Kluyveromyces lactis: one gene and its partners. The protein of the gene in region 1 purifies or fractionates together with the protein of each later gene. This does not show direct contact. Links are inferred from orthologs where the notes say so. Each region holds a gene or a part of one and is shown in the gene's direction. Other genes may lie near its edges.

Region 1 (2,580 bases):
ACTGGGTCGCCATCTCTGGTGCTGCTGGTGGTCTAGGTTCTCTAGCTGTCCAATACGCCAAGGCCATGGGTTACAGAGTGTTGGGTATCGATGCTGGTGAAGAAAAGGCTAAGTTGTTCAAGGACTTGGGTGGTGAATACTTCATTGATTTCACCAAGTCCAAGAACATCCCAGAAGAAGTCATCGAAGCTACCAAGGGTGGTGCTCACGGTGTCATCAACGTCTCTGTCTCCGAATTCGCTATCGAACAATCTACCAACTACGTCAGATCTAACGGTACCGTCGTATTGGTCGGTCTACCAAGAGACGCCAAGTGTAAGTCCGATGTCTTTAACCAAGTTGTGAAGTCCATCTCCATTGTCGGTTCTTACGTCGGTAACAGAGCTGACACCAGAGAAGCCATTGACTTCTTCTCCAGAGGTCTAGTCAAGGCTCCAATCCACGTCGTTGGTTTGTCCGAACTACCATCCATCTACGAAAAGATGGAAAAGGGTGCTATCGTCGGTAGATACGTCGTCGACACTTCAAAATAATGAAATCTCTTCCGCATTCAAGTCATGACTTTTTTCACCTTTTATATGTTTCCCTCCTCTCTCCGTTTATATAAAACATATCTGATCATTACTTCCCACTTATTCCGCCTGGTGTAGTGCTACTAGATCAATCCAACTTTATAATAAATCATTTTATAGACCTTCAAAATGAGACACGATATAATACTTTAATTCTTTAGCTCTTTTATAATAATTCTTACCACCCAAAAAAAAGGGAACTAATAACACCATTATACCATTACAGTACACATTGCGACCATCACCCTTAAGGTGAATACATCTGACCCCTAAAACAACTGGTACGTTCCAACTAGCTGACCTCTTAAGTACATCGACAATGTTCGCTTCGACCATCACACTGTACGAGTTGAAGTTCCATGTCTAACTCTGTATACATTGTCACTGGGAGCGAGCCAGACACGGATCTGCATTTCTAGATTGAAAAACTGAGAAAGTGAAAAATTTGGAAAGCTCAACCAGAGGTAGAGATAGAGATAGAGACAGACATAAATTAAGCTGAGCAGTCTTTATCTTAGTCGCCTGAGGTCTTTCGTGAGCAGTTTCCACAGGGATAGAAGGGGAGACTAAAACCAAAGATCAGAAAAATGTTCTCACGTTTAACTGGTGTCTCTTTGAGACAGGGTCTTACGGTACAGAAAAGACTATTCTCTTATGCCAGGCCATTGTTTAACAGCTCGGGGTCTGAGAGGACCGGTTCTGGTTCAAGGCAGTACAATGATGGCGCCCGTGCTGGTGCAGAATATGGTTACACAGGGACTAGAATTGTGCCTAAGTTGTCTACTTTTTACTCCGCCAACCCACATCACGAAGCTCATATCGATAACTTAGAAGCGTTGTTGAGGAAATATATCAAATATCCTACCGTCCAAGTGGAAGAAAGGCCTTCCTGGTTGAGTTTGCAAGAGTACGCTCTAATAGGTGGTGGGTCCCGTTTGAAATCTACCCAGTATAAGCAGCTTTTGTTCATGTTGAACCGTTTGAATTCTATTGATCCACAGTTGGTTACCGATGAGATTTCGAACACTTTAGCGAAATACCATAAGAAGACGAAGTTGCAACCTCAAAGAGATACTTTGAAGCAATTAGACGAGTTTGGTAGAAGTTTGGCCATCGGAAGAAGAAAGACCTCTACTGCCAAGGTATATGTGGTTCGTGGTGAAGGTAAGATCTTAGTTAACGACCGTCAATTAAACGATTACTTCGTTAAAATGAAGGACAGAGAATCCGTAATGTATCCATTAAAAGCCATTGACAGTGTTGGCAAATATAACGTCTTTGCAATGGTTTCCGGAGGTGGTATTACGGGGCAAGCCGATGCCTTGATGCATGCAATCGGTAAGGCATTGGTTGCTTTCAACCCACTATTGAAAACTAGATTGCATAGATCCGGTGTCTTGACAAGAGATTACAGACACGTCGAAAGAAAGAAGCCTGGTAAGAGAAAGGCAAGAAAGATGCCTACCTGGGTTAAGCGTTGATCTGATATTAGTCTCTGACCTTTCCATTAAAAAAAACACATGCTTGTTTCACAAGTCCTGTACATATATAGCAATTTTACATAATTTAACAAGCTCCTTTCACCTTTTACTCTGTCGTCCTACGTTAGCATCTCGTAGTTCCATTAGTCGTAGTTTCAAAAAATCTTGTAGATCCTTGTTCTTCCTTGTTCGTAGTAACATATCTTCAGACGTAACAACATTTCTGTTAGCATGTTGGGCAAAAGCTTCCAAATCACCACCAACCTCACATATCTGCTGGTAAACCAGTTCAGTAAGAGTGTTGACATATTTTGAATTGTATTTTACATCTTCTGGTAGTTCTCTTTTGATAATCGATTCCACATAGAACCACAGCTTCCCGCGTAACTGGGATCGTAATCTCTTCTCTTCATCCATATTTGATCAACTGAACGACGCTACCATGAATAGAGCCCACAGGACAATGCCAAGTCAGGAATTGCCAGCTCAAAACTCTAAACGAACTGCTCAATCGATTGTAATCTTGT
Region 2 (3,678 bases), about 250 kb from region 1:
ACTGTATGGGATACCAATTGGGGTATTTGTGAAAATGGCAAACAACTTGTTGTGGACAGGTTTCTTAAATGCTAGGTTGTGAGACAATTCATGGATTGCCAAGAAGATATTCTGGTTAGCGGTAGCACCGATGACATATGCAATGATGAAAAATTTCCAAGTAAAAGGATGGGTATTTCTTAAGTAATAGGAAAGCGATAACTGAAGCGACACAACACCAATGATAATCCATTTAGTCAAAGGTTCGTGGCCCATAAGTCGCTGCACTTCTGGATGTTTCTTAATTATGGCATGTCTTCTTATAGCATGGGGTTCTTTATGTGCGGACCAGTAGAAGTTATCAAGAACTTTAAAATCCTCATCTGCACTTGGAACGTCGACAAATTTCTCAGAGACTTTCAAATCTCTATGAACAATTGTCATGTCTAAGGGTCTTAATGAAGCTCTCTTCTTGTTAAGATAGCGATTCCGATGCTATATCAAAACTTGAAAGTAAAACAATGCCGATAAAAAAACAGGAACCGGAAACACGCTTGACAAAAATACAGTTCTTGATCCTTGATTCCAAGCCTGCCTAGAATCTTATTATTGAGTTTGATACTGATATTCTCAATGTAACCACACCAGTTGGATCAGGTATAAATCCTATGTTTATGCGTGACTATTTAAAAGAACTTAAGCTTTTAAAATTTAAAATCTAAAATCCTTAAATCCCGAAAAAGAACTGATCTTATGATGTGATAAATTCAAACACATACACAAACCTAAACGCAAGCAAAGCCTGCTAAGAAATGTGGTTTATACTTAGAAAGAAATCTGTAATTGGAATTACAATATATCTTTAAACGAACAAAAACCATGCGATGAGATGTTGCTGTTCCGTGTGCTCTCGAGCGATAGAAAGAAATTTTTCATTACGCTTTAAGGGAAATGGGAAAAAGTACGGTCACGTGAAACAAAGACACAGAGAGGGAACGCCCTGTTCTAACATCAGACACAGGGTTGGTGGTACCAAGGGCCCCACCAATATCTGTTTAACCATTAAATATGCAAAACTGATATATTTCGATCCAATCCTGACATACTCTAAATCATTTCAAATGTCAAACGATGTGACAAACCGCTGCAAGATTATGGTTCAATCTTATACAGGATTTGCTTCCACCCCGGATGAATGCAATTATACGCGTACATAAGTTCTGTACCCCCTTTGCTACCGACCTTAAATTGCTTCGCAGTTTGGCTATCTTGTCTTATTATCCCCTTTCAAGTTGGAGAATTGCTCAATCCATTAGGTACTGAAATTGTTCAACAATCGTAGTAGCTTTTTTTTTTTGGTCACTCACTATTCTCCATCTGCTGAAACAAATTTGAACCTGAACATTGAGTGGAACGAACTTGACGAGAACAGAAGAATGGTAGCAGTCTCCCTTTAATTGCTGCATACTTAACTTACGTTGATATCTTTGACCAAATATATCTATATATACCGAGATCTACAGCGTCTTATAATATCCTGGCGGGTTATCAACATCATCTATTATACCCATTTTTACCATAGCATTCCATAATGTTGAGGCATTCCTATTGTAGAGCACAGCAACAGTCATTGAGACACGTTTTGAAGACCAGATTGGCTGTTAATCAATTAAGATTTATGTCTGAAGTTAAGTTTAGAGTCGATTCCACTGCCAGAGTGGTCACTTTGGATAGACCAAAGAAATTGAACGCATTGGATGTTGAGATGTGCAGTGCCATCTTGCCCACATTGCAAGAATATGCCAAGAGTACCGTTAACAATGTTGTTATCTTGAACTCTTCAGCTAGTCCTAGGGCCTTCTGTTCAGGTGGCGATGTAGCTCAAGTAGCCAAGTTGGTTAAGGAAGGAAATTTTGATTACGCTAGAGAATTTTTCACCAAGGAATACTCGTTAAACTTGGCTCTAGCTACGCTGAACAAGCCGGTCATCTCTATCATGGACGGTATCACCATGGGTGGTGGTGTCGGTCTATCTACTCATATTCCATTCCGTATTGCTACTGAAAATACTCGTTGGGCCATGCCTGAGATGGATATTGGATTCTTCCCAGATGTCGGTGCCACTTTCTCTATTCCAAAGCTTACCACTGTTGGTGGTTCCAACGGACAATTGGCTCAGTACTTGTGCATGACTGGTGACATTTTGAATGGTGCCGATGCTTACGTGGCTGGTGTCGCTTCTCATTATGTGCCACATGATCAGATCTCCAACTTACAGGCAAGATTGGCTGAGTTACATTTGACTGAAGCCACTTCTCAATCGACTAACCGTGATGATGAAATTTTCGATGTTGTCAACCATGCTATTGAGGAATTCAACGCACCATTACCAAGAGACTACAAGTTCAAGTACACTGCTGATGAACTAAACGTCATTGAACAGTGTTTCGATATCGGTAACAGTTTGAAGCAAATCTACTCCAAATTGGATGAGGTCATTGCTGGAAAGACAGTATCACAAACAGCTCAGGAGTTTGCTGCAAAGACCAAGCAAATGCTAGCTAGCAAATCCCCTGTTTCTTTGGAAATCGCAAAAGAACTTTTCCAAAGAAACTCCTTCACTGACATTCAAACCGCCTTGACCCAAGATTTGATCACTGCTACTAAAATGTCAGAATCTCCGGACCTATGTGAATTTGCTGAGGCCACTAGTCATAAATTGCTAGAAAAGAACAAGACCCCATACCAATGGAAGATCAAAGATTTGAAATTAGCCCAAATATCAGTTCTAATCTCACAAAACTCCTCAAACCCGGTGTCGTTGATCCGCCCATCAAATTTAGTTACTTTCTCTGAATACCCACATCATAGCAAGTACCAATTACCAAACGAAACTCTAGTTGAGAAATATATCACAGGTGCTGACAACCATGGAAGACAAACTGCAGTTACTAAGAAGGAAGCTGTCAAATTCTTCCAACAATTGAACCCCGCCACGAAGAGTAAGACCGGCGTAGACTACTTGGTAGGTTTTATTATTGACAGAAAATGTGTTCCAAACCCAGATGGTTTCTTAAGATGGAAAACTTCCTCTGCTAAACTATAAAAACTATACATTTCGATTATATAGTACATCGAACACTTGTAAATACACTTACGATTAACCTACACGCAATAAATTTCATTATCCTCTCTTAGAATGGCATTGTTCTTCGGCAGTACATAAGGGTGCCATAAGTTAAATACAGCTCTAATTGATGCGTTCTACTTTAAAACTCGTTCATCTACCTAATTCTTTGTTATATTTTCCATAATTACGGCATGGTTTAAAATTTGAAATTACTGGAGTTTGATCCTTTAAAATGAGTGTGCAAGAAATAGAACATCAATATATAAGAACAAAGCTCCACAACGCATCATATCTGCCTTCAAATTAAAGATGTCTGGTTCTGATATCCTTGATATCAATGTACCCAGGGTCATTGATACAGATGACTGTGTTTATTGTTTTGAAACGATGAAGAATAAAGATGAGGGTCGTGAACATTCATTATTCATCTGTCTACGCTGCTTTCAGTCTTTCTCCGAAGAGCATTGGGAACTACATCAAGAGGTTGTTTTGAGTGAGACTGGTTCTACCCATGATCTGTATCTCAGAGTATTCAAGGTTCTAAAACCAAAACAAGAGCGAGAAGAAGC
Region 3 (2,937 bases), on another chromosome or scaffold:
ACATTGCAAGATACCATCAGAACATTAGCCTGTTACTCTGATGCAATTGTCTTGAGACATCCAGACGAAATGTCTGCCCACATTGCTGCCAAGTACTCACCTGTTCCTATCATCAACGGTGGTAACGGTTCTCGTGAACATCCAACTCAAGCCTTCTTGGATCTATTCACTATTCGTGAAGAATTGGGTACTGTCAACGGTATCACTGTTACCTTTATGGGTGACTTGAAGTTCGGTAGACCAGTTCACTCCTTGTGTCGTTTGCTACAACATTACCAAGTTAGAATTAACTTGATCGCTCCTAAGGAATTGAGGTTGCCTAATGCCTTGCGTAAAGAATTGCAAGATTCTGGCTTATTAGGTATTGAAAGTGAAACACTAACACCTGAAATCATTTCCAAATCCGATGTGTTGTACTGTACAAGAGTGCAACAAGAAAGGTTCGAAACCGAGGAAGATTACTTGAAGCTCAAGGACACTTACATTGTTGACAATAAGATCTTGTCTCATGCTAAACAACAGATGGTGGTCATGCACCCACTACCTCGTGTTAATGAGATTCGTGAAGAGGTTGACTACGATCATCGTGCAGCTTACTTCAGACAAATGAGATATGGTTTGTTTGTCAGAATGGCATTGTTAGCCATGGTTATGGGTGTTGAATTATAAAGGAGCTAAACAGATTCGCGTTCGGAACTTTTTTCAGAATCAATCCAAAATCAAACAAAATAATTTAAACATGGAAGTAAATCGTTCATTTTACTTTAAATTCATCAGAAGGAATTCCTTAAACTAAGAAAACTCTTTTTTTGTGGGGACTTGAAAAGAGATATTTAATCGGAGGAAGAAAACTGATGAAATATGACTAAACTACCTTCATCTGTACCATAGTAATACAAGGACTTTCATAGTAGGAAAATAACTTCCTTAAAATTACAAAGTGACTTTTATCTATTGCACTTTCTATTCTTTGAAATGCTCAAAATTTCAGATACAATTAGTATATTTTGACATATATATCATTTTGTCGTACATATATAGTTCAAAGGTTTATCCTTACATTCACATCTGCATCGTTTAATACATTAATATTTCGCATCGACTTTATTTTCATTCTATTGTTCTCTTTTGTTTGAACCTATTCAGCTGTCAGTCTCTAGGCAAAACCAGCAACATATTAGTAAAAATGATCACGTGACAGATATCAACGCTTTCCCTTCTCTGTCAGAATATCTCAAAATCTTAATATGAAAGACAGTTGTATTTTTTTGATTTGATTAAGTTCAAGTCATCTCCGATGATAGAATTGCCTTGAAATGTGGTACGTTGGGCTGAAATAAATGAAGTACCACTATATACAGATGCTCAGAACTACTTTTAAATACAGCATTTCTTCAATACGTTTATTTTGCAATAATCGGGTTCTCCAGAACGAATCAAGGGCTGTATCGGATCTTCTTTTTAACCTACCAACATACAATCCAGCGACACATCGAAAGAGCGGTAACAATTCTCCACATAAAAATCGTGATAAACACCGCCATAGAAACGGTAATAAAGATCAACGGAATAAAAAACTTGTTTTCAGATGGAATAGTGGAACAGAGAAACAGCAGGCAGCTGCCAACTCGGTGCTAGAGGAAATACTAGCAATAAATTCAAAGGGTAACATCAAGGCAATCAATCCAGAAACTAGCAAGCTAGAAGAAGCCAATATTAGGAACTTTTTGAAGGGCGTTAACCTTGAGATAAATGGGATAGCTATGGTGAGTATCGATAATGCTGCGTCCGGAGATGTTCGTCTACCCATTGTCAAAGAAGTGCCAACAAGACAGGCATTAAAGAATTATTCCGACAAACTATCTAAAATTAAAGAAGAAGAACTTATAAAATTGGGTGTCAATATAAAGAAAACTGGCCGTCGCTCTCCAGACTCGAAAGCGGATTCATCTTGGAAATCAATCAAGGTTTCATGGCAAATATCGGATTATGATTTGAAAAAACAGAAATGTAGTGAAATTGTTTCTAATTTGGAAAAAGGTAGCAAGATTGCTCTTTTCATTAATGATAAAGACTCTTCTAACTTGTCACCTATAGATGAGGAGGAATTAGAAGCGATGCAGGAATCTTCTATTTCTAAAAAGGAAATGAAAAGAAGGGAAGAGGTTTTGGAGAAGCTAAACGAAATAATCAGCGAATATTCATCACAGATTACACAAGAAGGTTTGATCAATCAAAGAATAATTATGAAAGTAACTCCAAATCTTGTAAATACTAATAATGGAGTTGATAAAAAAGCTCTCAAGGAGCAACGGAAACGGGAAAGGCAGGAAAAGCTGCAACGCAGAATTGAGAAGAAAAAAACCAGCGATTCCACCGAATAACCAGGAAATATCTCGGACGATAGACGTTATAATGGCATATGTATCTTGTAAATATTGATAATTAGCGTACATATATCGAAAAATTTCACGTAATTGTGATGTATTCTAATGAATCAATAATGCTCCGATTAGCGAAAGGTCATGTAAGTCACCGTAGCCAAATTGTGGAATGGAAACTAATAAGTCATCTAATGGGGACTCAGCCAAATTGGAGCCGAAATTAGACCAACCCTTTTTCTTTTGCTCGGGGTTAACGAATTCAAGGTGTTTTAAAGCGGTTATGAGCAAATGTTTGGATCTCCAAAGTTCAACTGTTCTCTTCATTTCTGACATAGAGACACTCCAGATAGCACCAGCGCCATTAAAACTGCCCGGAGAAGAAAGAAATAGCCTTTTCCGGGAGTGTGAGAAGTGAACACCCTTACCAAACTCAATAGAGGACTTGACAGTGTTAAGGTCAACTAATGTGTCAAGTTCCAATATTAACCAGACCTCTAGTGCAGAGTTGCCAGCATCTTTGAATATGTAGACCTTATTGAAGAGCAACTGTGAT

The links.
Region 2: the proteins of MRPS9 (region 1) and EHD3 purify together in Saccharomyces cerevisiae (affinity purification with mass spectrometry; 4 studies listed by BioGRID). This does not show direct contact. The link is inferred for Kluyveromyces lactis from reciprocal best matches to the Saccharomyces cerevisiae genes MRPS9 and EHD3.
Region 3: the proteins of MRPS9 (region 1) and AIM23 purify together in Saccharomyces cerevisiae (affinity purification with mass spectrometry; 3 studies listed by BioGRID). This does not show direct contact. The link is inferred for Kluyveromyces lactis from reciprocal best matches to the Saccharomyces cerevisiae genes MRPS9 and AIM23.

What each region holds. Positions count from the first base shown.
Region 1 is NC_006042.1:1,963,471-1,966,050, forward strand, and holds MRPS9 (mitochondrial 37S ribosomal protein uS9m), read left to right. Parts: upstream 1-1,159; coding exon 1,160-2,053; downstream 2,054-2,580. Other genes in the region: KLLA0_F21010g (zinc-dependent alcohol dehydrogenase), read left to right, coding at 1-533; MHF1 (Mhf1p), read right to left, coding at 2,153-2,470. UniProt on the Saccharomyces cerevisiae protein: Component of the mitochondrial ribosome (mitoribosome), a dedicated translation machinery responsible for the synthesis of mitochondrial genome-encoded proteins, including at least some of the essential transmembrane subunits of the mitochondrial respiratory chain.
Region 2 is NC_006042.1:1,715,320-1,718,997, forward strand, and holds EHD3 (mitochondrial 37S ribosomal protein mS47), read left to right. Parts: upstream 1-1,570; coding exon 1,571-3,085; downstream 3,086-3,678. Other genes in the region: KLLA0_F18656g (sphingolipid delta(4)-desaturase family protein), read right to left, coding at 1-423; ubiquitin-specific protease UBP14, read left to right, coding at 3,419-3,678.
Region 3 is NC_006041.1:1,376,759-1,379,695, forward strand, and holds AIM23 (Aim23p), read left to right. Parts: upstream 1-1,340; coding exon 1,341-2,384; downstream 2,385-2,937. Other genes in the region: URA2 (bifunctional carbamoylphosphate synthetase/aspartate transcarbamylase), read left to right, coding at 1-669; KLLA0_E15401g (uncharacterized protein), read right to left, coding at 2,490-2,937.